Lonchura striata: one gene and its partners. The protein of the gene in region 3 interacts with the protein of the main gene of each other region in a pairwise test. Links are inferred from orthologs where the notes say so. Each region holds a gene or a part of one and is shown on either strand. Other genes may lie near its edges. The genes, in order: DTX2, TMEM79, SEC22A and surfactant protein C.

The links.
Region 1: the proteins of SEC22A (region 3) and DTX2 interact in binary tests that used the Homo sapiens proteins (3 or more experiments, as listed by UniProt). The two-hybrid records come from large-scale screens. The link is inferred for Lonchura striata from reciprocal best matches to the Homo sapiens genes SEC22A and DTX2.
Region 2: the proteins of SEC22A (region 3) and TMEM79 interact in binary tests that used the Homo sapiens proteins (3 or more experiments, as listed by UniProt). The two-hybrid records come from large-scale screens. The link is inferred for Lonchura striata from reciprocal best matches to the Homo sapiens genes SEC22A and TMEM79.
Region 4: the proteins of SEC22A (region 3) and surfactant protein C interact in binary tests that used the Homo sapiens proteins (3 or more experiments, as listed by UniProt). The two-hybrid records come from large-scale screens. The link is inferred for Lonchura striata from reciprocal best matches to the Homo sapiens genes SEC22A and SFTPC.

The regions. Positions count from the first base shown.
Region 1 is NC_134622.1:5,679,008-5,686,568, forward strand, and holds the start of DTX2 (putative E3 ubiquitin-protein ligase DTX2), read right to left. Parts: upstream 3,001-7,561; 5' UTR 2,948-3,000; intron 1-2,947. UniProt on the Homo sapiens protein: Regulator of Notch signaling, a signaling pathway involved in cell-cell communications that regulates a broad spectrum of cell-fate determinations.
Region 2 is NC_134635.1:1,095,546-1,103,507, forward strand, and holds TMEM79 (transmembrane protein 79), read right to left. Parts: upstream 3,013-7,962; 5' UTR 2,918-3,012; intron 2,099-2,917; 5' UTR 1,995-2,098; coding exon 1,265-1,994; intron 1,058-1,264; coding exon 844-1,057; intron 620-843; coding exon 415-619; 3' UTR 110-414; downstream 1-109. Other genes in the region: nonsense-mediated mRNA decay factor SMG5, read left to right, coding at 3,961-4,037.
Region 3 is NC_134610.1:10,875,855-10,883,091, forward strand, and holds the start of SEC22A (vesicle-trafficking protein SEC22a), read right to left. Parts: upstream 3,010-7,237; 5' UTR 2,938-3,009; intron 2,656-2,937; exon of another isoform or gene 2,465-2,655; intron 1-2,464. UniProt on the Homo sapiens protein: May be involved in vesicle transport between the ER and the Golgi complex.
Region 4 is NC_134634.1:3,610,549-3,617,498, forward strand, and holds surfactant protein C, read right to left. Parts: upstream 2,834-6,950; 5' UTR 2,819-2,833; coding exon 2,774-2,818; intron 2,673-2,773; coding exon 2,523-2,672; intron 2,405-2,522; coding exon 2,264-2,404; intron 1,617-2,263; coding exon 1,506-1,616; intron 1,339-1,505; exon of another isoform or gene 872-1,338; coding exon 770-871; 3' UTR 502-769; downstream 1-501. Other genes in the region: LGI3 (leucine-rich repeat LGI family member 3), read left to right, coding at 3,719-3,939, 6,695-6,766, 6,863-6,934. UniProt on the Homo sapiens protein: Pulmonary surfactant associated proteins promote alveolar stability by lowering the surface tension at the air-liquid interface in the peripheral air spaces.

The DNA of each region.
Region 1 (7,561 bases), on a different chromosome or scaffold from region 3:
TCTGGTATTAATCTTTTCCTTGTAATCCATTCTTGCCTAACACACCAAGGACAGTTAGTTCACTGCTCAAAACAGCAAATTACGACTCAAGGTATCAAATCCAACACCTGCCTCTGCCACTTCTTTTAAGGCAGGTTTCACACCAACACTTTTCCAGCTCAAGGATCAGCAGCATCATCCATGCTCGACTCAGAGCAGGAGCCAGGCTGTGGCATTTTCTGTCCCACCCACCTGCACTAGGTGCTCTGAACCCCAAATATACAGAACCAACACTGTTTCCCCCCCCAAAGTTATTACCAAATATTCATCTGCAGCCACACGCAGAGCAGAGAAGAGGGAGGCTGTGAGAAGGGAGTCAGCGGTTCGTTTTCCTTCCTTTCTGAAACAGCAGCAGGAAGTGCAGACAAGCAGACACCGCAGCAGAAAAGCCACCTCCTTCCCGTGCCACCTTACACTCGCTGGGACAACAGCTGGGTGACAACAGCCTGTCCCTCACGCCGGGGTGGCAGCAGTGCTGTGAATCCTGGACCACATGTGAAGATACCCGGGCTGGCTGCACGAGCGTCGCGTGCTCCAACATCCACTTCCCCATCAGAGTGGAAAAATATTTCCTGTGCTGGGACTGCTGCTCCAAAGGAGGAGCGAGGGGCGTATTTCAGCCTCTTGCCAGTTCTTGCTGAAAGCTGCTGGAGCCAGCAGCTGTTTGCACAGATTGGGAAGTGAGGAATGCACGAGAGCATCAGTAAACCAGAATTACACAAGTCCTGGAGTTATGGGAAACTAAAAAGAAAAGGCCTAAAGTTACAGTTCCTGATTTCTCTTTGAGAATTCAGCAGCACACAAACAGTAAAAGCTGAGAAATTCAAAACTAGAGCTGCTTGTACAGTGTTCTGCATTACACCGCAGCAGAAAGGGTTTGGGGAAGAGTGGGATGTGGTTTGGGATGTGTTACACATCCCAGCTCACATCTTTACTCAAATCCTATGGAGTAGAACACTTCATCTCAAGCTTTAAAAATACCTTGAAAAGCTGAAATTCACATCAACCCTAAAAGCTCTAGTCATGGCTCTAGCCAGAAATCCTCTGGGCCACCCTTCCTCCAGTGAAAACAAAACCCTGGCTAATTCAAGTGCAGACTTAAATATACCCAGATGCCCTTCAGAAGGTATTTGGTAACACAGGCTCAGAGCTCGAAGATGGACTTGTTTGATTGGAACTTTATGCCCAGCACAACCTCTGAAACATTTGTCCACATGGCTTTAATTGGGGACTTGGACAGGAAAAAAACAATGCATTTCAGATGTGTTTTCCAGCAGCTTCACTCCCTGCTCTTCAAACTCCAGCAAATGGTGGTGAGAAAGCTGGAGAACAGGAATTAAAACCTTTGAAAGCTGTGTTTAATTCTCTGTTCTACTTCCAGAAAGCAGAATTTTCTTTCTCTTTAAATGCAGGATCTTAAAATTCATGGGTCTGAGATGATTTCTAAAAATGCCAACTCCTTTTGTTAAGTTTCTCAACTTGAATTGCCACCGCTGATAAAAGTTATCACAAAATGTGACATTGTACCTGGAAAAGAAAAAGAGCCTTGGGAGCTCTTTAGCTGGGCTGAATTAGAAATAAAAATCATCAGACTGGTAAAATAGAGACTTTTCAGCAGGTTGTTCAGAAAAGAGAGAGCCCAAGAAGGATCTTTAAACATCTTAGAGTCAGGACTGGGAGGGCACCAAAGATCCCATGGGAAGAGATTACACAGGGATTAGGGGAGCACATAAAGCACAGTGAGGCCACAGGGCTGCAGTAAGACGGGGCATGACTGGAACAGCATTACAAGTGCCCGGTGTCCTCCCCCGACCCCAAACCAGGGCTCCCACACCAGCTGCGCTGCACCTCCGGGCACAGCAAAACCCGATGCAACAGGGTTGGCAGCTGTTGCCAGGTAATTCATACCCAAACACTTCTTTCCTTACACAAGCACCCAGCACCAACCAAAGAGAAAGAACAGAGCTCGGCAGCAGGGAAGGGTCACAGTAATAACTCCAAGCACGCAGACCCATCCCAGTCCTGCCCTCTCCCAGCCTCTGCTGATCCTCACGGCACAAGGTGGCTGGGTTAACAGCCAAAACAACAAGAAATAAACCCGGCTGCTCCAAACCTGGACTGCTTCCATTCAAAACAAGCTTTTAAGCAAGTTCCCCTCGGAGGGGGAAAATACAGACGGCAACTGAGGCGGAACAAAGCGTTTCCCTGTCAGCTAAGCCGAGGGCTGGTTTCGGGCATGGGTGAATTGAAAAACGGAGGCAGCGAGAGGAAAGCAGCTACACTCAGACACAGGATCCCACCTGGACACGGGATCTGAGCACACTTTGCGTCCAACCCGACTACTCCTGGCTCCTTCTGGGCACCCAGGCGGGTCATTTATTCGCGGGGAGACCACTGACTAGTGAGTGAGAAGCTGGCACGATCTGGAGGGCTCCTCCAGCGCCCCAGCGCCTTCGGCCCGTGGCAGGAGCTCCGGAAGGTCCCGCCCGCGGAGCCGGCGGCTCGGGGCCCCCCGCCCCTCAGGGAGCCCCGGGCAGCACCGGCCGCCCACCGCAGCCGCCTGCTGGCTCCCGGTACCACGGACACCGTCGGACCCCACGCGTGCCGGGGGGTGTCCGGGCGACACCGAGCGCCCCGGGAGCTGCGGAGGGGCGGGGGCCTGCTGCGAGGGGAGCAGCGGCCGTGCCTCCGGGCCGCCAGGCAGGCCGGGCCCGGAGCGGCCGCAACGGCCCGGGCGGTCCGTCGCGAACGGCCCGGGCTGAGCGGCACAGAGCACGGGGTGCCGGGGGTGCCAGCCAGCGGGTGCCCGCCTCGCGAAGCACAGCACAACCCAACCCAGCCCAGCTCCCCGTCCCGGCGCCGCCGTGCCCCGGTCCCGTCGCCCCTCAGCCGCCCCCCGGCCCCTCACCCCGAGCAGGGCCCGCCGCTGCCGCTCCCGGCCCGCGGTCACGGAGCCTCTGCGCATGCGCACGCCAGCCAGCCGCGGGGCGGGCGGGGGCGGGGCCGGGGGCGGGGCCAGGCGGGGAGGGAGGGACGTGATTGGTGGAGGCGTGAGGGCGAGGAACGGCGAGCGCGAGGCGGGGTGGGACCGGGGTGGTAATGAGTGTGGTAATTAATGTGATAACGAGTGTGGTAATGAGTGTGATAACGAGTGTGGTAATGGTGTGATAGAGTGTGAGTGTGCGGGACCGAGTGAGTAATGAGTGTGGTAATGAGAGTGATAATTAATGTGATAACGAGTGTGTGGGACCGAGTGAGTAATGAGTGTGTAATGAGTGTGATAATTAATGTGATAACGAGTGTGGTAATGAGTGTGATAACGAGTGTGTGGGACCGAGTGAGTAATGAGTGTGGTAATGAGTGTGATAATTAATGTGATAATGAGTGTGGTAATGAGTGTGATAATGAATATGGTAATGAGTGTGATAATGAGTGTGATAAAGAGTGTGAGTGTGTCGTAATGAGTGTGATAACGAGTGTGGTAATGGTGTGATAGAGTGTGAGTGTGCGGGACCGGGTGTGGTAATGAGTGTGATAATGAGTGTGATTATGAGTATGGCAATGGGTGCGATAATGAGTGTGATAATGAACGTGATAGTGTGAGAGTGCAGAACCCCAGTGTGGTAATGAATATGGTAATGAATGTGGTAATGTGTGATAATTAGTATGGTAATAAGTGTGATAATGAGTATGGTAATGAGTGTGATAATGAGTGTGATAGAGTGTGAATGTGATAAAGAGTGTGAGTGTGCGGGACTGAGTGTGGTAATGAGTGTGATAGTAAATATGTCAATAAGTGATTATGGTAATAAGTGTGATAGTGTGAGTGTGCAGGACTGAGTGTGGTAATGAGCATGATAATGAATATGGGAATGAGTGTGATAATGAGTATGGTAATGAGTGTGAGTGTGCAGGACCAAGGGTGGTAATGAGTGTGTGATAATGATAATGAGCATGTGTGTTACTGTGTGACAGCACGAGTGGCAGCGTGTGAGAGTGTGACTGTGTATGTGACAGTGTGTGTGTGATATTGTGTCACAATGAGTGTGAACAGATGTGGGAAAGTGTGTAAGTGACAGTGACAGTGTGAGAGAGAACTGGCAGTGTGTATGTGGGGCAGCGAGTGTGAGAGTGTCTGTGATGGTGTGGGGTGTGTGAGAGTGTGTGTGGCAGTGTGCACGAGTGTGATACCGTCCATGTGAGTGTGATATGGTCTGTGTGAGTGTGATACCGTCTGTGTGAGTGTGATAACACCCGTGTGAGTGTGATAACACCCGTGTGAGTGTGAGCATGTGTAGTACTGGGGTGTGAGATGCTCTGTGTGTGCAGGGGATTGTGAGTGTGAGTGTGCCCGTGTGTGTGTGTGTTGCACACCACCAGTGCACCCTCTCCTCCAGTTTAGCACCTCTGGGTGCCGGGCATGGGAGCTCCTGTAGGAACGTGGGTGTGACCCTTGGAGCCACATCCAGCCTGCATGAATCAGCTGCTCAGCACCTTGAGGGTTTCCTTTACATCCAAGTAACTCCAGAGCCGAGCCGTGGAGATGCCTGCTCCCTGGCTGGGGTGAGGATGCTGGAACACAGCCCTGTGTGCCACAGATCTCTCCGAGGACATAGCGCTGCTCCTTCCCAGCTGCTGCACCTCCATCGCCACCCTTGCAAGAGCTGTGTGTTTATTTCGGGATTCCTTTGATCCTGGAGCATCTTGGAGGGTGCTGCATCACTTCTTCATGCTCTCTTAGAGGTAGGTCAGACCCCACCTGGGTTTTTCCCTTTCCTGGGACCCCCACCAAGACCTCAGCAGCAGTGGTTAAAGAACCACAGAACCAGAGAATCATTTAGGTTCAGAAAGACCCTTAAGATCACTATAATTCCTTCTGAACCAGGAAGTGTTCACCAATTCTTATCAAATTATTTGTAACCTCCCTGGACTTTACACCCAGCAGCACTGATTCACCCATGACATGATACACCTGCCCTAAAAGTCTTATAAAATAAAGAACATTATGTTTGGAGTCAATAGTTACAGCAAAAAAAATAACATACAGAACCACTACATACTGTAGGAATAGAGGGATATTATAAAACTCTTCTTCCAGGATTCAATATGTGAGACTCATCTTCACAGACCCTGAATAAAGTTGGTTTTCATCCCAAAATGTACAGTGGCAAGCACATAACCATGACAGCTCCAATGAAAACCCTCTGGAGCTGCATCCCCCCACAGCTCAGCCTTGTATGCAAATGCCCATGGATTTCTCTGCTCCAGGACGGATGAGACTGTCACACACTTGAGTTCAAAATACTCACAAAGTACTAATAATTGCCAGAAGTGATTGATAGCCTGCTTGCAATGTGTCTGCTAAAGCAATAAGTTTCACATTTACAACTCAGGTGCTTGGGATTCCTGTCTCCTGTGGCTGTAATTAGAAACTGGAGAGCAATGCAAAGGGTTTTTTTTCCTAAAAAATAGATAGGGATGCTTCATAAAGCCATGCTGGGAGCAGACTATGTGATCCATGTGGTTGCATGGGTGGGCAGGTATGAAATGTCCTATGATCCTAAATAGAAAAATGTTTCAGGGAGTTTTGAGAATGGTGAAGAAGGGTTTCTGTCCAGTCTTGCAGACCTTCATGGCATGGCTGGGAGATAAAGGGATGCTCCCAGTGAGGAATCCTGGCTGGGAGAGGATGGGTGAGGCCTCAGGGTGATGCTCCGAGGCTGAAGGTGCTACTGATATGGGCTGCAGGGTGGGGAAGAGCAGAGGTGAATTGGGTGCAGCTCCTGGGTGGAGGGAAGGGCAGTGTGGTGGAGATAAACCAGTCAGGTGGTGGCTGAGCTGTTGGAAGAGTCTTGAATTGCATTGGATTTATTTTTTTTTTCGTTTTGAGCAGGGATTCATGATCTGATCTTGCATAAGGGTCCCTGGAGGGTTTTGCCAGGCACAGAGAGTGGCTGAGGTACCTCATCTCAGCAGTACAAGTGCATGGCTGGTCCTCAGTCTCCCTTTTCTCACTCACACCTTTTCATCACTTGTCCCGCATTCCATGATGGTCCAACAACCTGAAAGGGGTTAACAGAGCCACGGGCAACATGAATCTGGGGTCTGGTGACCAGCTGAGCCTGTCAGACCCCACTGCACAACTTCCTCCAACATTTCTATCTTGTGAGGGTGACTGCAAAGATCTTCCCCGAGTCTGAAAGGTGAACCTCAATGTCCTGCTGTCCCTAAGGACCTGTGAAAACAAGGGATGCAGACCTCACAGTCCTCACTGCCTGCAAAAATATTTTATATTTTACATTATTTTTACCTTAATAATCCCCAGATTTTGTCCTTTATGCCTTTTTTTTTTTTTTTTTTTCAGCTGGATCCCTTCCTCCCCATGCTGTTCTTTCCTACACCCTTCTCTGCATGCACCCCAAATCAGTATGCAAAGCACTGAGTCCTCCAACAAGGCATCAACTCCTGTCTGATCCATCCACACACTGGGGTAACCAGCCAAATATTTGCCTTCCCCCAGCTCCTGTTCTTGCAGTGGTGCTGGAAGCCTTTTGAATTAATTTCTCTGTGGCTGCTCCCTCTCACACAAGGTCCTACACTAATGTCTACAAAATCTGATGCTTGAGGCTCTGTTAAATTGCCAGGCTTAGCCTGGTGCTCCAGGGAATAGCCTGGCCACTCAGGAAACTGCCTGTCCAAGCTCTGCTGGGATTGCTGCAGCACTTTGAATTCACAGCCCACTCGATTTCAGATTAATTTCCCTGAGCAGACAAACACAAAGTGACAGGAATTAGGAATAAATTCCTCTGCAGGCAAAGGATAATAGGTGAAATTTCATTTCATTCTCCTCTGCAGCAGCTGCTGCTGGTTCCTGCCAGGGACCCGAAAGACAAATAGGGATGGATCTGGTGTGTGCATTCCCCTCCTGCTGGGTGACTTTGCTGTCCAACCCTGGGATTTACCTGCTGAGAGGGACTTGTTCCTCATCCCTGCTGGTAGTGGGAGATGCCCCATGAGCTCAGCTCAGCTCTCTGTGTTCCACTGCCTGCCTTTTCAGAGGAAATTACAGAATCTTGAACAGTTTATGTTGGAAGGGACCAGCCCAGGTTGTTCCAACCCGCTGCTATGGGCAGGGAGACCTTCCACCATCCCAGGCTGCTCCAAGCCCCACCCAACCTAACCTTGAACACTTCCAGCATCCATATCTTCTCTGGGCAACCTGTGCCAGGGCCTCACCACACTCATCATAAAACATTCCTTCCTTATGTCAATCCTAAATTTACCATTCTCATTTGAAACCCCAGCCCCTTCTCCTGTCATCCTGACCCCAATCAAAAGGCTCTTTCCATCCCTGCCTTTGTTAAATCCAGCCAGGAAACTCTGGAGCCGAGTCCTCTGGTTTGTGTTTCTGTCTTACCTGCTCTGGCCACATTCACCTCACCACTAATGCTAATTAGGAGCAGAACTCATCCCGTTTTGCCTTCTGCCTGTTTTCCCCAGCGGAGATTTCCTTTCTCTTCCC
Region 2 (7,962 bases), on a different chromosome or scaffold from region 3:
TTCCCTCTTGGAAACATAATTTTGAGGCTGGATGATTACATCCTGTAGGCAAAGCTCTGAGTCATTCTTTGGGGAATTTAACTCACCCTCTGCAAACCAGCCACAGAGCTGCTTGTTAAGGGCTTTATTGGGCAAAGTTGGCTCCAGCAGGAGAGGAAGCAAATCCCACCCCATTCCCAGGGAAGAGCGCTTGCATTGTCCTGCTCTGGCCCTTCTTCAGCTGCAGCAGGAGTCTCGTGGTGCAGAGGGTTTGTAGCCTGGCTCGGTGGGCCCAGCAAAACCTCCCTGTGTCCAGGCAGGGAGCGGGGGCCCAGCTGGATGTGCCAGCACCCCTGTGCTGTCAGGGCTCTTGAGGCAGTGCATGAAGGAGGGCTCAGACTCGTAGGGTGCAGGCGCCCCATCTCCTGGCCTCCCTCAGCCCCAGTGCCGGAGTTTAGCTCGGCTCTCCTTGGAGTGGCCCTCGGGCGTTGGCGTTGCCAAGGACAGGAGGTTCTCGGGCTCCAGGATGAACATGCCATACAGGTTCCAGAGCAGCATGGCCAGGAGCGGCAGGAAGGTCATGCTGAAGCCAAAGGCACGGAAGGAGCGGCCGATGGCGTAGGACATCCAGAAAATCAGCCTGGAGAAGGCAGAGGGTGCGGGCTCAGCCAGGGTGATGCTGTGGGGCTGGCACTCACTGGTTCTGACCAGTGGGGATTTCCCAGGCATGGCTGCCGTAGGAAGAGGAACCCTTCCTGGCTTTGGGGAGCTGCGTAAGGTGCTGCCACAGTGGGAGTTTGCTCCAAGGCACGGTGCTGGCTGGCACTGACAGAGCCAGCAGCCTGGGGTGAAGGAGCCACTTACCGGGAGATGGCGAAGAGCCCTGTGAGCAGTGGGATGAGCTTGAGGAGCTCCTGTGGGAGGTAGGTGGCCAGCACAGCCATGTTGAAGAAGTAGAGGATGAAGAGATGGACAGACTGGGAGACGTAAGTGCGGTGGATCTCCACCTCCTGGTGGAGCTCTCCAAAGGGCTCCAGGGCGGAGGAGCAGAGGCGGGAGATGCCACTGACGATTATTCCTGAGGGACAGAGAGAGAGGCTCAGTGGATGCCCAGTGGAGCCACGGTGGGGTTTGGGTAGAAGCAGGAGGGGAGAAAATCTCCATTTGCTGCTCCTGGTGGGAGCAACAGAGCCACAAAGAGCTCAGCCCCACTCTGCTCCTGCAGCCCCAGGCTCACGTAGCCCAGAGCAGGAGTAAAGCACTCATACCCAAGCCCATGGCTCACCCAGCACGATGGGGAAGGTGGCAAAGGTGGCACAGCGCAATGTGTAGACCAGGCGGGCGCTGACGGTGGGCAGCAGTGGGGCATCGAAGGGCAAGAAGATGTAGGCACCATAGATGAGGCAAGGGCAGAGGAGAAGGGCTCCTGCCACTGATGCCACAGCCTTGAGATTATCAGTGCCACAGTCCCTGGCACACGGGCACCGTGACCCCTCAGCCGGGGGCTTGGCCATGTGCCCCTCAAAGCCCAGTGGGTTCCGGCAGCGCGAGGGGCCAACGGGGAGGAAGACCTGCTTGTGGTGGAGGCTGCTGGGTCTGTCACTGGGGGGGACGCTGGGGGGAACATCCCCCCTGCTCTCCTCCCGGGGCCATGGGGTTGGGTGCTGCTTCTGCTTGATGGGACTCTGCTCGATGCACTGCGGGTCGATGGGCACAAAGACGTGGGCCGCCATCACGGGCAGCCGGGGCACTTCCTCATCTTCAGCCTCGACTGTGGGGCAGGTGGGAGCAGCTTCCTCTGGGTCTTCATGGCCACCCTCAGGACTCGAGCGCCTCTTTGTCTCCACGAGCTCCGGCTGGCCCCAGGCATTGTGCTGACTCTGGTCCCATGGCAGGGTGGAATCAGGGTCCCCCTGGTGCTCACCTGGGGCTGGTGGCACCTTGGCCAGGGCCACCTTCCCCAGCTCCAGCAGAGCCACCTCCTCAGGGGGCTGGACAGGGTCTGCAGCAGCCATGAGAGTGTCCAGCTCCACACTGCCAGGGATGGGGGTTGGTAACACTGCTGCCTGCACTTGTGGTGTTCAGAGGGGATAAAGTTCCTGTCCTTTCTGCTTTCACCCTGGACCAGGAGAAAGGAGACAGATAAATTTACATCAGAAATGAGAGGTTTGGGGTCACATGCACAGCACCAGTTACAAAGTGGGAGCAAACTGGCAGCCCTGGAGCCCCCACTACCCGGCTGTCCTTGCACTAGGAGGGGAAAGCAGTGCCTGGTGTCCCTGTGCTCTGGCCCCTGGCAGCAGGGTCAGGTACTGTCCTGGGAGGGGTGAACTCTGGAGGTGTAGGTCTGGCTGCAAAACAGGGCTGCCTAGGAATAACTTCAACATCCTGGGGGTTCTAGCTGGGCACAACCCAGCAGATACAACTGGCTCCTTGGTGGCTCTCTCCCGGGCCAGGACCAGCCAAGCCCTGGGGAGAGGTGACCTAGCTGCTTCCCAGAACCATGGCTACAGCGGGCACGGGCCAGGTTTGCTGCCTCTTGTAGCTGAGACTGATGTGGGGTGGACAAAAGTGGCTGCTGGGTGCCCTTCCATGGGTGCAGGAGGTACGGGCAGAGCTCCATGTTGTTACCCTTAGGGAAACCTTGTCTCTTGGCCCGTCCTCAGTGTCCTGCCTGCCTCCTGCAATGAACGTTTCTCCTTCGCTCCTCTCAGCACATTGATCCCTGCACCCTCAGGAACTTGGCCTGGCCACAGGTGTGGGGAAACTGAGGCACGGAGCCGCTTGGGGCTTCCTCCGCGACCCACACACGGAACTAGGGCTGAAACAGCTTCCCAGGTTTCCCGTGCCTCCAGCGCCCGGTCCCGGAGCCCAGCCCCTCTGGCAGCCCCCAGCCCCGCTTCCCCCGGGCAGCGCCTCCCCTCGCGGCAGCACTCACTCGGGCTCGGGCGGGGGGCCATGGGGGCAGCTCTGCGGGACCCTGCGGGATTCCAGCGCTCTCCCGGCGCCTCCGCGCCGCGAACCTGCCGAACCGGCTCAGGTGGGGCGGGCGGAGGGGCGGGCGCTCCGCCCGTCCCAGCCCGGCGTGGCCCCGGGGGCTCGGCGGAGGGGACGGGGCGAGCCCGGCGCTGTCCCCCGTGGCAGGCGGGGGACCCCCGGCTCCCTGTGGGCCGCTCGGGGCGTGCCAAGTTAAAGAGCTCTCTAAACACACAGAGAGTTTAAAAAGGGGACGGACAAGTCAGCCCTTGCTCATTCTGCGAGGGTGCGAGGTGGAGCTTTCCACAAATCAAGCGCACCAAGGGTAACACGAAGTTACACCTTCTATACAGTAAAATTTACATTAACCCGTCTAATACACATCACCGCCCACCTAAAGAACATTTATGTATCGTAACCTAACACAATGCTTGAAATACAAAGTCGTTTTATTTTGAGCAACTTTTCTTACAGAAGTTACGTGACGGCACAGTTACGTTTACAGAAGGTGAGAAGGTTCAGCATGAAGACACCACTGCGGGAGCCGCGGCCCCACAGGACCCGCCGGGATGCCTGGCCAGTCCCTCGGGATCCCAGAGCGCGGGGAGGAATTCCTGCGCCGTCGCCCCCGCTCCCGACCCCACAGCCAGGCGGGGTGCTCTGGTGCAGCGCTCGACCCGGGCACCGGGCGGCACCGGGCCCGCCCCGGCACCGGGCCCGCCCCGGCACCGCGCCCGCCCCGGCACCGGGCCCGCCCGCCTGAGGCGGCCGCCGCCATGTTGCCAGCACTAAGTGCGGGCCTCTCGCGCGAGCTGGCTCTCGCGAGACCAGGTCGCCCCCGCCGCCGCCCTGCCCGCCCGGCGCGGCGCGGCCGCGGGAAATCTCGCGAGAGCAGTGAGGGCCAGGGGGCAGCCATGGCGGCCGAGCGGGCCCGGGGGCGGCGGCGGCGGCGGCGCGGGCGGTGCTGAGGGGCCGCGGGGCCGGGCCGGGCCTGCCGCGGGCGCCATGAGCCAGGGTGGCGGGGCCGCCGGCGAGAGCGGCGAGCCGGAGGCCAAGGTGCTGCACACCAAGCGGCTGTACCGGTGAGCAGAGGGGCCGGAGGGGATGCGGTGGCCGAGAAGGGGAGCGGGCTGGCGGACACCGGGGGCAGCCGGTGTCGGGAAGGGGCCGGGGCGGCTCCCGGTGAGGCTGGGGAGGGCCGGCGTGGAGACGGTCGGGGGGTTACTCAGGGGGACGGGGGGTAACTGGGGGTGCCCGAGGAGAGCAGAGGGAGAATGGGGCTGGGCAGCGTCCGGCGGGGACTGGGGGTGACGGCAGCGAAGGGGATTGGGGCGGGGGAGCTTGGGCGAGCCTGGCGAGGAGCAGGGTGAAGGAGGTGGCGGGATATAGGGAAGATGGAAGGAAAGGAGATGAGGGAGTTGTCAGGGAAGGATTCGGGGGGAAGGAGATGGTGGAATCGAGGTAACAGCAGGGATTGATGGAGCGGGGTGGGGAGGGGGCTCCTGAATCCAGGGGAATCCGGGGGAGACTGGGAGAACGAGGGCGAAGGGAATTGGAGGGCTATTCAGAGAAGATGGGGAAAGGAGATTATGGAATTTAGGGAAGACTGAAGTGAAGTTGTGGGGAAATCCAGGGAAAGGATGCAGTGCAAAGGGAGAGGAGAGGGAGGAGGTTTAGGGAAGACCAGGGAAAGGCAATGTGTGGAAGGGAGTTGTATGAGATCCAGAGGGGATAAGCAACACATGGAGGGGTTCCACTGGGGAAAAGGAGTCTGGTGGCTTCAGGGCAGATTAGTCAGACCAAGGGACTGGGGGAAGGAGCTGTGGGAGATCCAGGTAAGATGGGAGAATGGAGAGATAGGGGAAGGAGATAGGTGGGAGACCAGGAAGGGGGTAAGGGGACACCCAGGATAATGAGTAAGGACATGGGGAGGTGGAAAAAGGGATTCAGTGGGATTCAGAGAGAATGGTGGGGGCTGAGTGGAAAGGAGTTGTTGGGATACAGTGGGATAAGGGTGAGATGTGGGGTCATCCAGAGAGAGAGGGGTTGGAGAGGGTGTCCCTGGCTTTGGTACTATGCAGGGATTATGTGAGAAGTGCTGGAGTGGGTGTGATGAGCAGGAGTGTGAGCTGGGACACTTTGCTATTGTGTGGAGGGCAAGACAGCTCCAGCTGCAGATCTTTCCAGTTAAGCACTCCCTGGGACTCTGGTCCCACATTTCTACACCATGCATTGGAAATGGCATCAGAGAACAGGACTGGGGCACTCCTGCTGGCCTTGGTGAGCTCAGGCCCCCTCTGCTCCTGATCTGTTTTGTGAGGGCAGCCCAGAAATTGTTCCTTTCTGGCTCAGATCCACAGGAGTTCCAGCAGCAGCTCTGGGTCTCAAAGATGAGCAAAATGATGGAGACAAGAGATGAATTTTACATGAGGGTCCATTTCTTTTTGTCTTGATGACATTGGCTGTGTCCTTGCACCTTGTGGGACCTCACTGCCTACCTCTACAGCAGGGCAGGGTTTTACCTTGTGATGGAGGTATAGGCTGCACAGTCCTGCCCAGAGCACCCCGGGCTGTGGGGCTCTGTGTCTGCTGCACCTTCAGTGATCTCCACCACATCTGCTGGAGGCTGAGCTAGAGCAGCAGAGCACTGTCCCTGCCCAAGGAGTGTGGGACAGGGCTGGAGAGGATGTGCAGGATGTGTGTGCTTCTGCCTTTGTTGAAACCCTCCTCGTTGTTGTTCAAGACCTGTTTTGCTTTGTTTTCCTGGTGCTGCTCAGCTCATCTGTCAAGTGGAACCTCACGTTCTGCTGCAGCCAGCAAGAGAACGGCCTGTGGCCAGATGAGGAATTGTCATCCCTGCAAGGGAGGGGTTGTTTTCTGTTTGAATTTTTGTAGCAGAATAAGGCGTGTAGTTGCTCTAGAGAGTTCTTACAGCAGAAAAAGAAGCACCCTCCTCCTGCAGGGACAGCTCTTCTTTAGCAGGGAGGAAGCATTGTGATTTTAGTGCAGGATTTATAGTACCTGCAGTGGCCACAAATTTCTATCCTTGTAGCTGACAGTTCTCTGAGCAGGTTCCCACCTTCACAGTCTCCTGTCAGTTCTCATCTGTTCCAGCCTGAAGTGGGAGTTTCCTGCCTGTTGTGTGGTGGCTGTGGTCTGAGAGCTCATGACTGTCCCACTAAGTGGCACCTTTGAGTCACAGATGCGTGAATGCCATAGTCCCAGCTCTAAACTGTGATCCCATGGGATCAGCGTGTTGTCAGCTTGTGGGAGCTGAGCTCAGGTCTCCAAGGTCCTTGGCAGCATGTTGGCTGTCAAGAGTGTCCTTTCAGAGAGGAAGGTGCCCATTGCTTCTCATAGGGTACTCTTTGATCTTTTCCAAGTCTTCCTAGATTGAGAGTTCCCAGGTTTCACCTTGAAATGTGGCAACTGCATTATAATGGGTGCACTTTTACAATGCTTGTTGTAGCGTAAGGTGACCAGGTTTATTTTACAGCTTTCTGGGTAACCATTAGCTCATGGACTCAGTGTTGCTGTTGTTTTGTGGAACCTGTTCCAGAAAGTGTACTGACACATGCCAGAGCACAGCTAAAAGACTTGCAGGTCTTTTCTCTTAATAATGTCTTACTCCTCAGATACTGTGGCTCTTAGTGATGTCCTAAATAAACAGAGGGGACAAATAATTCTCCCTGCTGTCCTGCTCCGTCCCAGAGTGTTAATTGCACGGAGGAAAAGGGGCTGATCAGTGTCTATATGGCTCGAGAAGACTTGGCATTAGCCTGTTTCCACCCTGCTTGGCACCATGTGCTGTATTTGTTTCTTTTAATAGACTGGCATCTGATGTGCCTCCTTTGTGGCTCTAATATACTGTCTGAAAGCAATGTTTAAACACAGCAGGTAGAAAAGTGGGTCCTGGGACAGGATTTCCGTTCTTAACTGCTAGGGAAAGTTCAACCTGTGGTCTTGGACAATTGAGGGCACAGATGCTAAAGTGCATTTCCAGCAGAGCATGGCCCATAGCAGCTGTGTTGGTGTTTCCCAGCATTTCTGGAGTGAGGCTGGCTCCTGTCCCTTTTGTCCTCACTGAGTCCTCTTTCCCCAGCACCACAGATGTGGGATCCTGGCAGGGAATCACCAGCTGTCACATTCTGCTTTACTCCTGCCTTCTTCTCTTCCAGCAGCACCACAGGGCCTGTGTGGATGTGCAGAAGGCAGTGTTTCAGCTGAGGCCTCCCTTAGGGCTGATGAAGTGTGACGCTTCATGACACACATCCTAGTGTCAGCCTTGCTGCTCTCTGGTCACAAACTCTGTTTCTTTACAAACACTGAAAGAACAGCAGAAATACCAAGTGTGTGCATGTGCCCATCCATGGGTTGTTGTATAAAATTAGGTTGTATGGCAGATACCCTCTGGGCCACCTTGATGGGAAGGTGATGTCCTTCTGTCCCCAGAAGGAAACTTTTTTGTACTTCTCATTTGGCAGGCCACTGGGATCATTTTCCACATTGGCTGTTATGGACACGTGTGCTTGTTTCAGATGCACACAGCTGAGATTTGTTGCCCACAGAATGTTATTTTACAGCTGCTTTACTGCTTATGTCAGGAATCAACTATTGTAGTTCTCTCTGGGAATCAAATGAACCAGCAGTTCCTCTTTCCCCTGGTCACCCTTTGTAGAGGAAGCCAGTCAGCTCCTGGTGTGCTGGAAGGGACTTTGAGAGCCACAGCTAGGACAGCAGTCTGAGGCTGTAGTAAGGAGAGGTGCATTGCCTGTGCTTTGTAGGGTTCTGTTGTGGGGAAGCTAAACTGGGGGCTTTTTGGGTTGTCCTAACCCAAATATGAGCTTGCATGGATGCTGCACACTCAGTGCCTGTTACCTGTAAACCAAAATGTATTTTACTTGCTTCTTTCCTGCTATGAGGGTATGAAGCTGTCAGAGTTTGCAAACACCTTTCAGGCCATATGAGAAAGAGGACAGTGAGCAGGAGGGGCTGGTTGTCAAGAAT
Region 3 (7,237 bases):
TAATATTTTACATGTTCAATCTCATCGTACTTGCTTTGCTCCTACAACTGAAAACAAAGAACATAAATACCACTAACAACAGCATGTATGCACAGACAACAGACAAAACAAATGATAAAGACATGTTCAGAGGTATTCTTTCAATTTTTATGTCTAATCTGTATGTAAATAAATATTTGCATAAATCTTGAACACAACTTTCTTTAAGACTCCTGCTTACATTCAGAGAAAAACAGGCTCTATAACAGAAGATAAGCCTCTACTGAAACCTGCCAATTCTCTTCATATATGACAAAATCACGCAAGGTAGAAATTGTGCTGAGCTGAAGATCCTAACACCAGTTAGGTTTTGTTACCATCATCTTAAAAACCCACCCAGTGAAAATATGAACTTTTTTCTCAGCCTCCTAACAGCAGAATCAGAAAACTATCTAAAAACCAAAGCTAATAAATTACTTTGGCTGGAAGATCATATGTATGTCAAGAAATGTATAATACACGTACTGTAACAGAACATTCAGCCTTACCTGAAAATGTATTATCAAAGAAAGAAAGTTTATTAAATCTATTTTATCCAGCTCTCAAAACTATACAGCTTTACACAAAGAGCTAAGTGGTAAATTTGATATGCACTTATATATTTAGAGACTGAAGAAAGACAAATATGCTTTTAGAGTTACTTCTAAATGTCTTTTTGAAACATCTATTCAAAGCTGCATTAAGTAATTCACCAAATTGTTACAAATTTCATACATTTTCCTCCAAAAATTATGTATCCCTCAACCACCTGAAGATGACAAAAGACTGCACTTTCACTACAAATGGCCTATGAATTTCTTATAGGTGCCAGGAAATGAACAGATTGGGTTCACGGCCTCATTCCATGACAGAACTGTGGAATACCAAATCCAACCAGCAGCTGTTTGGGTCACAGGTATCACAGAGGATCCAAAACTTGTCACCAGCCAGTGGAACCCCTTTGTCACAGGCTGCTTAAGAAGCAACTGGAAAAGTTCACAGAAAAACTACCTGGGATACTAAAAGCAAGTCATAACCTTTTGCTCAGAGGGATTCTGACCCCCACACAAACACCAACAGGGAAAGTACCTCACAGAAGCAGCACTCCATGCTTGCACCATTCTTGTTTCCCTTAGCTAGTATTTACTTCTGCCCCATTGTTGTTGATTTTCCTTTTACAGCCCTCCCCACAAATGAGAGGACTCATGGAAAAGAGGAGCATGGAGAAAGCTGGCCACAGACAGGTAAGAGGGAGCAGGGTGGATATTCCTCTGTTACTGCACGTTCCCAAGAGCTGTCCAATTCCTCCTGCACATGTCAGTATCCACTGTTTCAGAACTAGCAATCAGCACATGTGCCTGGTTTCATTTCCTCCCATGAACAAGAAACCTCAGGTGACAGAAACCAGAGCCTGTTTCACTGTACTTGTTTTTTTTTAAGCCATATTCAATTATCATGTTGTTTATTTCAGTGTTACGATGGTACCTAATCCACAGCATCTACAGAAGTCCTAGAAACACTGAAAACGGAGAGTGGAGCATTCTAGCCTTTTGTAACAAATTCATCATCTAACTTGTGATCTGACAGTTAATTGTTTTAAACATATCTGACATAGTCTTGTAACACTTTTAACAAGTGTTTGAAAGTGACTTGTGACTATGATTTGCTCAGGATGCTTCACTTAAAAAAAACTCTAGCTTTCTCAAAATTCTGACCAGATCGAGTGTAATGGCAAGCTTACCCTCCTGCACCTGATAACCTTCAGCCAATTTAATCACCGCATTTCTTGTTGGGATGTCTGCCTCTCATAAAACCTTTCCATAATATATAAAACTGGGAAGGTATGCAAGCTGAACTCCTGTCTGACACAGAATACAGATAAAACTTCTGTGCTTACATAAAACACATACCTAACACTGTTGGACAATTTATTGTCCCCACTTCTGAGGGTTGTGACAGCTGCATTATACAGGAGGGAGCTTAATTTTTTCATACTACATAATACTTCAGAAATTCATATCACAAACTGGAGCACTACAGAAGGACACAACAAACAAAGCTACTTTGACATCATCGGGTATGATAAGACAAGGGAATAATCCTAAATCACCAGCCAATATAATAATTCTTTCCAAAAAGTCAGGGGGAAAGAGATCTCAGAGGCAGAATCAAGATTCGCAGAATCAATGAGGTTGGAAAACACCTGAGATCTTCGAGTCCAACCTGTGACTGGACACCACTACCGGGTGCCACGTCCAGTCTTTCCTTAACAGGTGGCTCCAGGCACAGTGACTCCACCACCTCCCTGGGATCCCAATCCAATATATAATCACCCCTTCGGAAGAAATTCCTCCTAACGTCCAAACAATTCTGACAAGCTAAGGGAACGGAACGAGTTGCACCCCAGAGTTTGGGAGCCTGACCCTTTCGCCTAGCACCTACTTACGTGGCAGCTCGGGCACGGCCCCCAGCGGCCGCAGCAGCCGCGCTGACTCGGCGGTCACCGACTCGGGCGGACCCGCACCGCTCCAGCTCACACAACTTCACAACCCTCCCGCCTGCGGAGCGGCGGAACCCCTGCGCACGGCGGGCTCTGCTACCGAGCGGCGCTTGCCAGGAGCCCCGAGCGGCCCTGGCTGCCTCCCGCACCCCCCGAGACGGCGGCGGCCCCGCGCCGACCGCGGCTGAGGCGCGAACGCAGCCGGCCGGGAGGCTCCGCGGCCGGGCCTGGGGCCGGCAGGGGCGGGCAGGCGGAAGGGGAAGGGAGCGAGGAGAAGCGAGGCGGCGGCGGGGCAGTGCGGGCAGGGCAGGGCAGGGCGCAGGGCAGGGCAGTGCGGGCGGGCGGCGGCTCCGGGCGCGGATCCCGCCCCGCCCGCGGCCCTCAGGGCGCCGGCCGCGCGCGGGGGGCGCGAGCCGTACCTGGCAGCGGGGCGGCGGCGGCGCGCGGTCCCGCCGGGCATTGTGGGAGCGGACACGGCCGCGTGCGCCGCAGCGCCCCCGCGCGGGGCGGGGCGGGGCCGCCCTGAGGGGACTCCGGGCGCCGCCGCCCTCAGGGGTCGCGGCGGGCCCCGCTGTCAGCCCTGCCCCGCGCCCCGCCGTCAGCCCTGGGCGGCCGCCCTGCCCCGGGCCCCGCTGTCAGCCCTGCCCCGCGCCCCGCTGTCAGCCGTGCCCCGCGCCCCGCCGTCAGCCCTGCCCCGGGCCCCGCCGTCAGCCGTGCCCCGGGCCCCGCCGTCAGCCCTGCCCCGCGCCCCGCCGTCAGCCGTGCCCCGGGCCCCGCCGTCAGCCGTGCCCCGGGCCAAGGGAACGCCGCCCTTGCGTGGCGGGATGCCGCAGCCAGACTCCGGGACTCCCGGGCCCGGATCGCGGCCGCGGGTGTGTCTCACCGCCCGGGCGGCAGCAGCCGAGCACCGCCGGCGCTGTCTCGCACAGCCTCGTCTGAGGCTGAATTTATCATAGAATCACCCAGGTTGGAAAATATCTCCGGGATGATAGGGGCCAACCTATGACTCGACACTATCCTGTCAACCAGAGGTGGGCACCGAGTGCACATCCAGTCTTTATTTAAACACCTCCAAGGATGGTGACTCCACGGCTTCCCTGGGCAGCTCAGTCCAGTGTCAAACCACCCACTGTGAAGAAACGGCTTCCTAATGATCCATCTGAGCCTCCCCTGGTGCACCTTGCGATTCTCCTCCTGTCTGTGCCCGGGGCGAAGAGCCCGACCCCGCCTGTCCCAGGGAGCTGCAGGGAGCGGTACATGAGCCCCGAGCCTCCCCTCCTCCGGGACAGCTCGCTCTGCTGTCAGCACAGCTCAGCTTTAGGAGCTGTGCGCTTTGGGCTCTCCCGTGTAATAACTTCTGACAGCTGCTGGCTGGTGTCCGCCAGGTTTAATGGATCACACAGCCCTTGGCATGTGCCTGGCACTGTGTGGGTAACCAGGTAGGTTCGGGGTCCTGTGCTGGGGCAGTGAGCGTGGCTGCTGGCACCTGTGTGATAGGGACAGAATAGCCACCAGCAAAAGTGCACTGAGATGAGACCAGATGCTAGGCTAATCTCACTCATTTCCCAAGAAATTAACTGGGCATGTTTCAACAATAAATGACAATACAAAAGTGAAAGTTTGCAAACTCATTAGTAACCCTAGAGTGAGGTTCCTATTTTAAATGTTTTTCTACTGATACAAGGATAATTTTCTCACTGTATCACTCTTTGACTTCACTGTTTTCATACCAAATCACACCATTTTAGTCTGTTGGCTCAAATCTGAAATGAAAGCAGTTTATTTCCTCACTAACGCCTTTTAATTTCTCCTTCCATCTGTTACTACTTCACTTATCCAAGTGCCTGTAGCACAGCAGTATTGGGACAGAGGTAACACACCTCACACTCTGGACTCTCAGGCTCTGCTGAGCCCTACTCAGGAGCAAGGCAATCAGGAAGATGGTGTTGGAGAAAATCAACGGTCTCCAACCTCAACTCTTACTTCTCCAAGCAATTTTATGCAGACACCTATGGCACCCCTGGATATCAGAGGGGCATTGCCTCACTCCATATTCCAGTGATCCAAGTGAGGAAAAACAATCTCTTAGATCTTAGAACGTGGAGTAAATTGCTATTGCTGGAGATTAATTGTACCCTTTCAGCCTCCAGGCTTTCTTCTCTGTCTTCAAGCAAAGCTCAGCCAAGCCAAGGGTTCGATCTCCCTGAGTCAAGCAAGACCACAGCAAGGGATACAAGATTAATTGTGGTTCTGGGGCTGAGTAACAGAGGGGGAAACTGGCAAAAAGGGAAAAAGGGAAAAATTGTTTCTAGAGCAGACTCGAGACAGGAAAGTGGTGAAGAGGGGAGTCAGAAGATGGGGCTGGCATGGAGATGTGGGAGGGGAAGGAAGGAGCAGGTGAGCAGAGGGGCAACAGCAGGAGAGTCACCTGCTTGATGAGGTTGTTTTTCTGTGAACTTAAAAGCTCAAGAAAAAGTGATGGGAGTCTTTCCTAAGCATCCTTCTCTCACTGCAAGCTGACTGTTGATGGGAGCTGCCAAGGATGTGCACCATGAACGGGTCTTGCTAAAGCCTTGCAAGGGATGGAACATCTGCATGTTTGAATATACAACTTGGCATCTGCAAGTAAGTATCTTGGCCTGTCAGGAAAAACTGTTCCCAGTCAGGCTTTTGTAGAGTGGAGCATGGGAACATCTCAATCCTGACTGACTATGCAGAAGTAAAGCACATGTTCAGAAGATGATACATTAATCTGAATAATTTCCAGAGAGTCCTTATCCTGTATAAACAGAGTGCACGGTATTACAAGCTGCTGCACAGTTTAACAGCTTATGATAGCATCTACTATAATGCAGAGAACTAGTGATTACTTAATTAGAGGCTGTCTAAAGGTTTGTGATAAGTGCATACATGTGCAATTTTATTTTTTCTACTTCTTCTGAACTGTTTATCTTTCAACACTAAAATTCTCTTAACCTTTTGTAAATGTTTTAAAGAAAAAAGATAAGCATTCTTCATTTACATAAACAGGATTTCAAGTATTGTATACACATCTATTAGTTAAGACTCCTAGGGGAAAAACCGACATTATTCTTTATTTTCAGGTGAACCTGGCCCCAAGAGGTTAAATAAATCACACAAGGTCACTTGAGGGAGGTAGCGGCAGAGTCAGAAATGAGGTTACAACTCCAACCCTCCCAGCTCTCATGGTGAACTTAAATCATATCTGTTATTCAAGAATTTGCATGGCTAACAAGCCAGTTACACTTTAAATTGTGTCTTTTCCTTGTCCCATTGACTCCCCTAAGACACGGAAGCAGTAAAACATTGTCAGAGGGGCAGCGTGCAGTGAATGCATTAGTGAAAGCTGCAGCCAGAGATAAAACATTCCTAAGAAGTAAATCCAGTCAGTGCAAAGGGAAGCCATAGTGGAGGAATGAGGTGTTTCAGAATGAGGAGGAGAGATGAGGAGACAAGAGAGGTGTGGATGGTGTCAGAGGTTGAAGGGAGAGCGGGATGGGAAGGATGGGTGACAAAGGAGTGCCCATGGTGCCAGCCCCCTCAGAAATGCCAATGAGGGGCCTCTACATGAGCAAAACAGAGAAGCCATTACTTGCCAAGTGTGTCATCAGCCAGCTGAAAGCAAAGCCTAGCAGCAAATGCTTGGAGATGAGTTAGGACAGGATTTACCTCACAGATGTTCAGTGATCTGGAAATTGCCCTCTGTGAAGAAGCTCTGTGTTGCTATTTCTCCTCAGTCATTGCAGGGAGCAGACATGTCCAGCTGCATTTATGCACCTTGGCTTTGGATGACTTAAGGTAGGGAAGACAAACCTTTAGGCTCTGTCCACTGGATTTAAACATGACTTTAAAATCAGGTTTCCCCAAGGAAAAACACCAGCCTGAGGAGCTGGCAGTAGTTGTGTTCATCAGTGCTGGAGTCACAGGAGCAACAATAAAGGTTCTGAAAGGAAAATTCATACTCAGGGTTTTTTGCAAAAGAAAACACTTTTCTGTTTACTACACGTTTCTCATTATATTGCTCCTTTCTCTGTACCATTTTTTTTCCCTTATATCTTCCTTAAAGTTTGGTGCTTGAAGCTGGAGGTATTATTCAAGCTGAGGCTTTAACCAGACTAACAACCATTAATATGCTTCCTGTTTCTTGGATAGTAATGTCAATTCCCAGGAAAAAACAGGTATGTTGAATTGGTGCATTCAGGTGGAGTGCAGCCCAGCTGCATCACGAGGCCTTTGCACTCCGAATCAGGCTGCTGAAATCATGGCACTAGCTAAAAGCCCATGACTTTCTAACAATTTTGCACTCTAAAAAACTGCATTTGATTTTAGAGGTTTTAGAGAAACCTGTGTCCATAATCGCAAGAGCAAGGATTATGCTCACTGCAATGAACTGTTCTTGCTAACACAGCATCAGCAGAAGTGTGAGCAAGGTCATAAAAATCATCAGCAGATTATGCAGTTTATTTCCTCACTTCTCTTTTTAAAAACCTCCTCTGCTGATTCAGTCTTAAGGTCCTGTGCTGGGCCCAAAAGTTTCTTTCCTGGAGCACTAGTATTTAATTCTCAAGGGCTTTGCAAGACTGAAGCAACCTCGTAATGTCACAGAAAGTCTCTCACTGGCAATAAATGCAGCTGTTAGAACAAAATACAGCATTGTCCCAATGGCTCTTGTTGCAGCAGGGCCCAGTATGATCTCCT
Region 4 (6,950 bases), on a different chromosome or scaffold from region 3:
ACTGGGGGGACACAGGTGGGGACAATGGGGGGACACAGTTGGGGACACTGGGGGGACACTGGGGGGACACAGGTGGGGACAATGGGGGGACACTGGGGGAACACAGGTGGGGACACTGGGGGACACTGGGGGGACACAGGTGGGGACAATGGGGGGACACAGTTGGGGACAATAGGAGGACACAGTTGGGGACAATAGGAGGGCACAGGTGGAGACACTGGGGGGACACAGTTGGGGACAATAGGAGGACACTGGTGGGGCCACTGGGATGACATGGATGGGGACACTGGAGGGACACAGTTGGGGACAATAGGAGGACACAGGTGGGGACAATATGAGGGATGGGGACAATGGGAGCATCGTGTGCACTTCTGCTGCTGCCTCCCCGTGTTTGATCCCTCCCAACGTGAGTGATTCCCCTCCCCACCCTGCACCCTGCAAAGGGACACCCTTGGGACACCGTGTCCCTGTCCCCAGCACCCAGGAAGGGCAAGAGCACGCTTGGAGGTGAACACAGGCTTTACTTTGTAGACAGAAGCAAATCCCAAAGCAAATCCCACTTTTTTTTAGGGAGACAGCAGGGGGAAAGCCGCAGTGCCAAGCGACAGCGGATGCAGCACCCCCGGGGCGGGGTGGCTGTCCCCGGGATGGGGATGAGGAAGAGGAGGAGGAGGAGGAGGAGGAAGCGTTCCCAGCTGTCCCTCCTGGAAGGCGGCGTGGGGGACGGTGACATCCCCGCGTGGCTGTCGCATCCCGCTGGGAGCTGCTGCTACACCCAGAACACGGGCACGGCGCTGCAGAGGATGTTGATGGTGGTGCCCAGGATGGAGCGGTCAGTCAGGGGCATGGCCTTGTCCCCAACGTCCTCATCCTGCAGGACAGAGCACGGAGCAGAGCTGCCACCCGCGGCTGGGGCAGGCAAAGTTCTCTCCCTCTCAGGAATTTCATAGAGGAGCACAAAGAGAAATGAAAGAGAAAACAATTTCTGTTTCTGCTCCTTGGTTTTCCCATGTGGAATGTGTTTGGAGGATTGTTTACCTGGGGTGAGTGCTTGGTTGGATTCTGGTGAGGATTGTTTGAGCCTGGTGGCCAATCCAACCCAACCCAACCCAACCCAACCCAATCCAATCCAATCCAATCCAATCCAATCCAATCCAATCCAATCCAATCCAACCCAATCCAACCCAATCCAATCCAACCCACCTGGGGCTGGACTCTCAGAGAGGGTGTTAGAGTTAAAATCAGAGAAAGTAGTGTGTAGTTTTAGTATCCTCCTTTTATATAGTATATTGATGTATTTTAGCATAGTTTTAATAAAGAAATCATTCATCCTTCTGACTTGAGTCAGACATGGTCATTTCTTCCCATTGGCTTCGCCTGCATTTACAATTCTCGGCAGCCACAGTGTCCCCTCCAGAGGGGACAAGCCCCCAGCCCCACATTTCCCAAGGGCTGGGCTGTGCTGAGCCCAGTGCGGCTCCACTCCCTCAGTGGTCACCGCTCACCTGCCGGCGCTGGAAGGTCTCGGTGACAGCGTCCAGCCCCGGCAAGTTGTCCTTGTCCAGGCGGGTGATGAGGCAGGCGCGGCGGCGCCAGGACCTGTATCCCACCAGCAGCTGTTGGCAGACAGAGGAAAGGATGGATAAATATCGGAAATAAATGTTGGGAAGGATGGATAAATAGAATTGCCTGGCAGAAGATTCACTATAGTACAGCCAGGATGAAAACAATCCTCCCTACTGGATGGACAACACCCTTACCTACAGGTAGGTCCAAAAGTCAAATGGACTGTTCCATCTCAACCCCCAAAATGTTCATCCCACACCTGTAACCCTCCCCTGATGCATCAGGTGTCTGTGACCCCATTGGCCCAAATCTTGTTCCAGCCCACCTTGAACCACCTGATAAGGGGTGTCTGAGGGGCCGGACGCTCTCTTGGAACTCCTCCTCTTCTTCTTCTTCTTCTCCTCTCTTGGAACTCCTCTCTCTTGGAATCCCGGCTCTCTTGGAACTCCCACCCTCTCCTGGAGCATCCTCTTGTCTCTCCCCTCCCCATCCCCTCAGGCCTTGCCCCGTGCTGCGCCGGGCAGCTCCAAGCAAGACCTTTCTCCATCCCTAATAAACCTGATATCCCAAGAGCAGCCTCCAGAGATCTCTCGTCTCCACCCATCCAAACCCTCCTGGAGCCCAGCGCTCCCTACAGAGCCGGCTCGGCTCGGCACGGCCCCGGGGCCGCCCCGCCGCTCCCGCGGTGCCCCCGCACCTTGCCGTAGTCGTACACCACCGCGGCCGAGCCGTTGTGCCCGTCCCGCACCGCGAACGTCCCGCTCCGCTCCTTCTTGCTCACGGCGAGCTGCTGCGGGCTCCCGTCGCCATCCAGCCCGTGGGTGGTCATTCGCAACACCTGCCGGGGGCAGAGGGCTCAGGGGGCTCAGGGGGCTGAGCCCCCTCCCCACAAAGCCGCGGTGCCATCCCAACCCCTTCCCGGCGCCGGTGGCACCGCGGTCCCTTCCTGCCCTCACCGTCTCGGCGTGGGACTCGCTGAGGCGCAGCCCCAGCAGGAGGAAGGCGACGTTGACCACCACGAGGGCCACCACCACCAGGGCCACCATCAACAAGAGGCTCTTGAGCTCGTGGGGGATGCAGGGCAGGCGCGGGGACTCCGTGTACCTCTGGTGGGGGGAACACGGGGGAGCGCCCGGCTGAGCCGCCAGCACCGCGGGGCACCGGGGACTCAGCCCCGCGCCCAGCGTGGGTGCTGGGTGCTCCTTACCGGAGGTGCCTCCTCCATCAGCGCCTCTTTGGAGCTCTCGTCCATCTCCCCGTGCGCTCCTGTCCCTTTGCCAGCGCGGGCCCGGGGGTATTTATAGGATCCCGGGCGGCCGGGGAAGGCTGGGGCCACTCCAGCTGCCGAGTGCCGCTTGTGCTGTTTGCTGAGCGCGCACAAGAGCCAGGGAGGGGACAAGAAGCCTCCGAGGGCCCTTCCGTGCCATTTGCCCGCCAGCGCTGTGGGGGTGCCAAGGCAAACAGCGGGCAGTGCCCTCCCTCCACACCCATCCCGGGATTGCGGCAGAGGGGTTCCAGCAGGTCCCGGGAGAGGGGGGCTGCACCCCTGGTTCTGCACGGGCAGCTGTGCGAGCCCCCCCCCCGGGGTGGGGAAGGAGCTGGCTGGACTCATTGTTCCCGCAGGCTCCGTGCCAGGCCGGGCGCAGATGGACGCCTGGCACGGGAGAGATGTGTGCCAGGGACGGCCGGGTGCCCGGGGCGGCGTGGATCGCTGCCCAGCGCGCTGCGGCCGCAGCGGGCAGCGCTGCGGCGCCGAGCTGGGGGAGCCACTGCGGGGGCATCACCCCTGGCGTGTCCCCCCTCCCCAGTTCTGCGCACCCCAAAAGCAGCCCGGGGGCCGCTCCCACCCGCGGCGTGGAGCCCCGAGGGTGGTCGCTGCCGGGGACACGCGCGCACGGACACGCGTGCACGGGGATGCTGGCGATGTCACTCAGCCGCATCCCTCCCTCCCTCCCTCCCTCTTTCCCTCCCTCCCTCCCGCAGCACCGGGCATGATGTGCTGCAGAGCCGCGGGTCAGGCAGGCTCCGCCGCTTCTCCTCCACGCTGAGATCCTCGGGGGAATAAAAATAAAAAAAAGAGAGGAAAATAAAGATTTTTTTCCACAGCTGCCGGGCACAGCGGCGTTGGGAGCAGGGATCAGGCTGGGGAGCGATGGAGCTGCGGCGCGGCAGGATGCCGAGGGAGCAGCTCCCCGCTCGCCTCCTCCTCCTCCTCCTCCTCCTCGCCGTGGCCTTCCTCTGCCTGCCGGCGGAGGGGCGGCGGCCCCCGCGGCCTCCCCCGTGCCCCCCGAGCTGCTCCTGCACCCGCGACACGGCTTTTTGCGTGGACTCCAAGGCCGTGCCCAAAAACCTGCCCCCCGAGGTCATCTCGCTGTGAGTAGCCGCGGTGGGGACAGCGGTGGGGACAGCGGTGGGGACGGCGGTGGGGACAGAGGTGGGGACAGCGGTGGGGACAGAGATGGGGACAGAGATGGGGACAGCGGTGGGGACGGCGGTGGGGACAGAGATGGGGACAGCGGTGGGGACAGCGGTGGGGACGGCGGTGGGGACGGCGGTGGGGACAGCGGTGGGGACAGAGGTGGGGACAGCGGTGGGGACAGAGATGGGGACAGCGGTGGGGACAGCGGTGGGGACAGAGATGGGGACAGCGGTGGGGACAGCGGTGGGGACAGCGGTGGGGACAGCGGTGGGGACAGAGGTGGGGACAGCGGTGGGGACGGCGGTGGGGACGGCGGTGGGGACAGCGGTGGGGACAGCGGTGGGGACAGAGATGGGGACAGCGGTGGGGACGGCGGTGGGGACAGCGGTGGGGACAGAGATGGGGACAGCGGTGGGGACAGCGGTGGGGATGGCGGTGGGGACAGCGGTGGGGACAGCGGTGGGGACAGCGGTGGGGACGGCGGTGGGGACGGCGGTGGGGACAGCGGTGGGGACAGAGATGGGGACAGCGGTGGGGACAGCGGTGGGGACAGCGGTGGGGACAGAGATGGGGACAGCGGTGGGGACGGCGGTGGGGACAGCGGTGTCACACGCCAGGGCAGCGCGGGGGTGGCAGGGGCTGTCCCGGGGGGACGGGGGCGGCCCTGCGGGGGGCTCCGGGGGACGCTGGGGACATCCCGGGACGTGTGGCCGTGTCCCGCGGGGCCAAGGCGAGCGCGGCCGCGGCCGGTCCCCGCCGCCGGCCCGGGGACGGACCGGAGCCGGCGCGGGGGACGCGGCGGTGACCTTGGCCACCGTGTCCCCAAGCGGGGCGTGGTGGGGGACAGGGCGGCGCGGCGGAGCCCGGCGCGGGGGTGTGCGGCAGGGGCGGTGTTTGCACTGAGTGCGTGTGCTTGCACGCTCGTTTGGGTGTGTGACACTGTGTGCGTGTGCTTGCACGCTCGTTTGGGTGTGTGACAACCATGTCTGTGTGTTTACACACCCGATTGGGTGTGTTACACTGTGTGCGTGTGCTTACACACTCATTTGTGGTGTTACACCTGTCTGTGCTTACACACCCCATTGGGTGTGTTACACCCATGTCTGTGTGTTTACACACCCGATTGGGTGTGTTACACCCATGTGTGTGTGTGCTTACACACTCGTTTGTGTGTGTTACACTGTGTGTGTGTGCTAAAACACCTGACTGGGTGTGTTACACTGTGTGTGTGTGCTTACACACCTGATTGTGTGTGTTACACTGTGTGTGTGTGCTTACACAACTGATTGGGTGTGTTACACCCATGTGTGTGTGTGCTTACACACTCATTTGTGGTGTTACACCTGTCTGTGCTTACACACCTGACTGGGTGTGTTACACCCATGTGTGTGTGCATACACACCTGATTGAGTGTGTTACACCCATGTGTGTGTGCATACACACCTGATTGGGTGTGTTACACTGTGTGTGTGTGCTTACACAACTGACTGGGTGTGTTACACCCCTGTGTGTGTGTGCTTACACACTCATTTGTGGTGTTACACCTGTCTGTGCTTACACACCTGACAGGGTGTGTTACACCCCTGTGTGTGTGCTTACACACCTCATTGGGTGTGTTACTCAGTGTGCGTGTGCTTACACAGCTGATTGTGTGGGTTACACTGTGTGTGTGTGCTTACACACCTGACTGGGGTGTGTTACTCAGTGTGTGTGCTTACACACCTGATTGGGTGTGTTACACTCGTGTGTGTGTGCTTACACACTCATTTGTGTGTGTTACACTGTGTTTGTGCTTACACATCTGATTGGGTGTGTTACACCCGTGTGTGTGTGCTTACACACTCGTTTGTGTGTGTTACACCTGTGTGTATGTACTCACACACCTGTCTTTGTGTGTTACACTGTGTGCACGTACTCACACACCCATTTGTGTGTTACACTGTATGTGTGTGCTTACACACTCATTTGTGTGTGTTACACCTGTCTGTGTGTGCTTACACACCCATTTGTGCGTGTTACACTGTGTGCATGTACTCACACACCCATTTATGTGTTACACCTGTCTGTGTGTGCTTACACACCCATTTGTGCGTGTTACACTGTGTGTATGTATTTACACATCCCTTAGTGCATGTTACATCTGTGTGTATGTACTCACACACCCGTTTGTGCGTGTTACACTGTGTGTACATACTCACACACCCCTTTGTGCGTGTTACACTGTGTGTACGTACTCACACACCCGTTTGTGCGTGTTACACTGTGTGTACGTACTCACACACCCATTTGTGTGTGTTACACTGTGTGTACATACTCACACACCCATTTGTGTGTGTTACACTGTGTGCACGCACTCACACACCCATTCTGTGCCCTCACACACGTGTGTGTGCACATGGCCCCATGCCATGCGTGGGTGCCAGCCCAGGTTGGGTGCCGGCCCGGCTCGGGTGCCAGCCCAGGTTGGGTGCCGGCCCAGGTTGGGTGCCGGCCCAGGTTGGGTGCCAGCCCGGCTCGGGTGCCAGCCCAGGCTGGGTGCCGGCCCGGCTCGGGTGCCAGCCCCCGCAGTTCGTCCCCTCCGTGTGCCCACCCCGGCCAGGCCGGCCGCCGGGTCCCTCTGCGATGCCCGGTGACACGGAGCCCGCGCCGGGGGCACGGCGGTGGCCGTGCCAGGCCGTGCCCTGTGCCGCAGCCCCGTCTCTCCCGCAGGACCATGGTGAACGCGGCCTTCACGGAGATCCGGGAGGCGGCTTTCGCCCACATCCCCTCCCTGCAGTTCCTGTAGGTGCCCCGTGCCCCCCGTGCCCCGCTCGGTGCCCACCGCGGTGCCCACCTTGCCCGGGCCCGCCGCTGATTCCTCCCCCGTTCTCTTTGCAGCCTCCTCAACTCCAACAAGTTCTCGCTGATCGGGGACAACGCCTTCGCCGGGCTCCCGCACCTGCAGTACCTGTGCGTGGCACGGGGA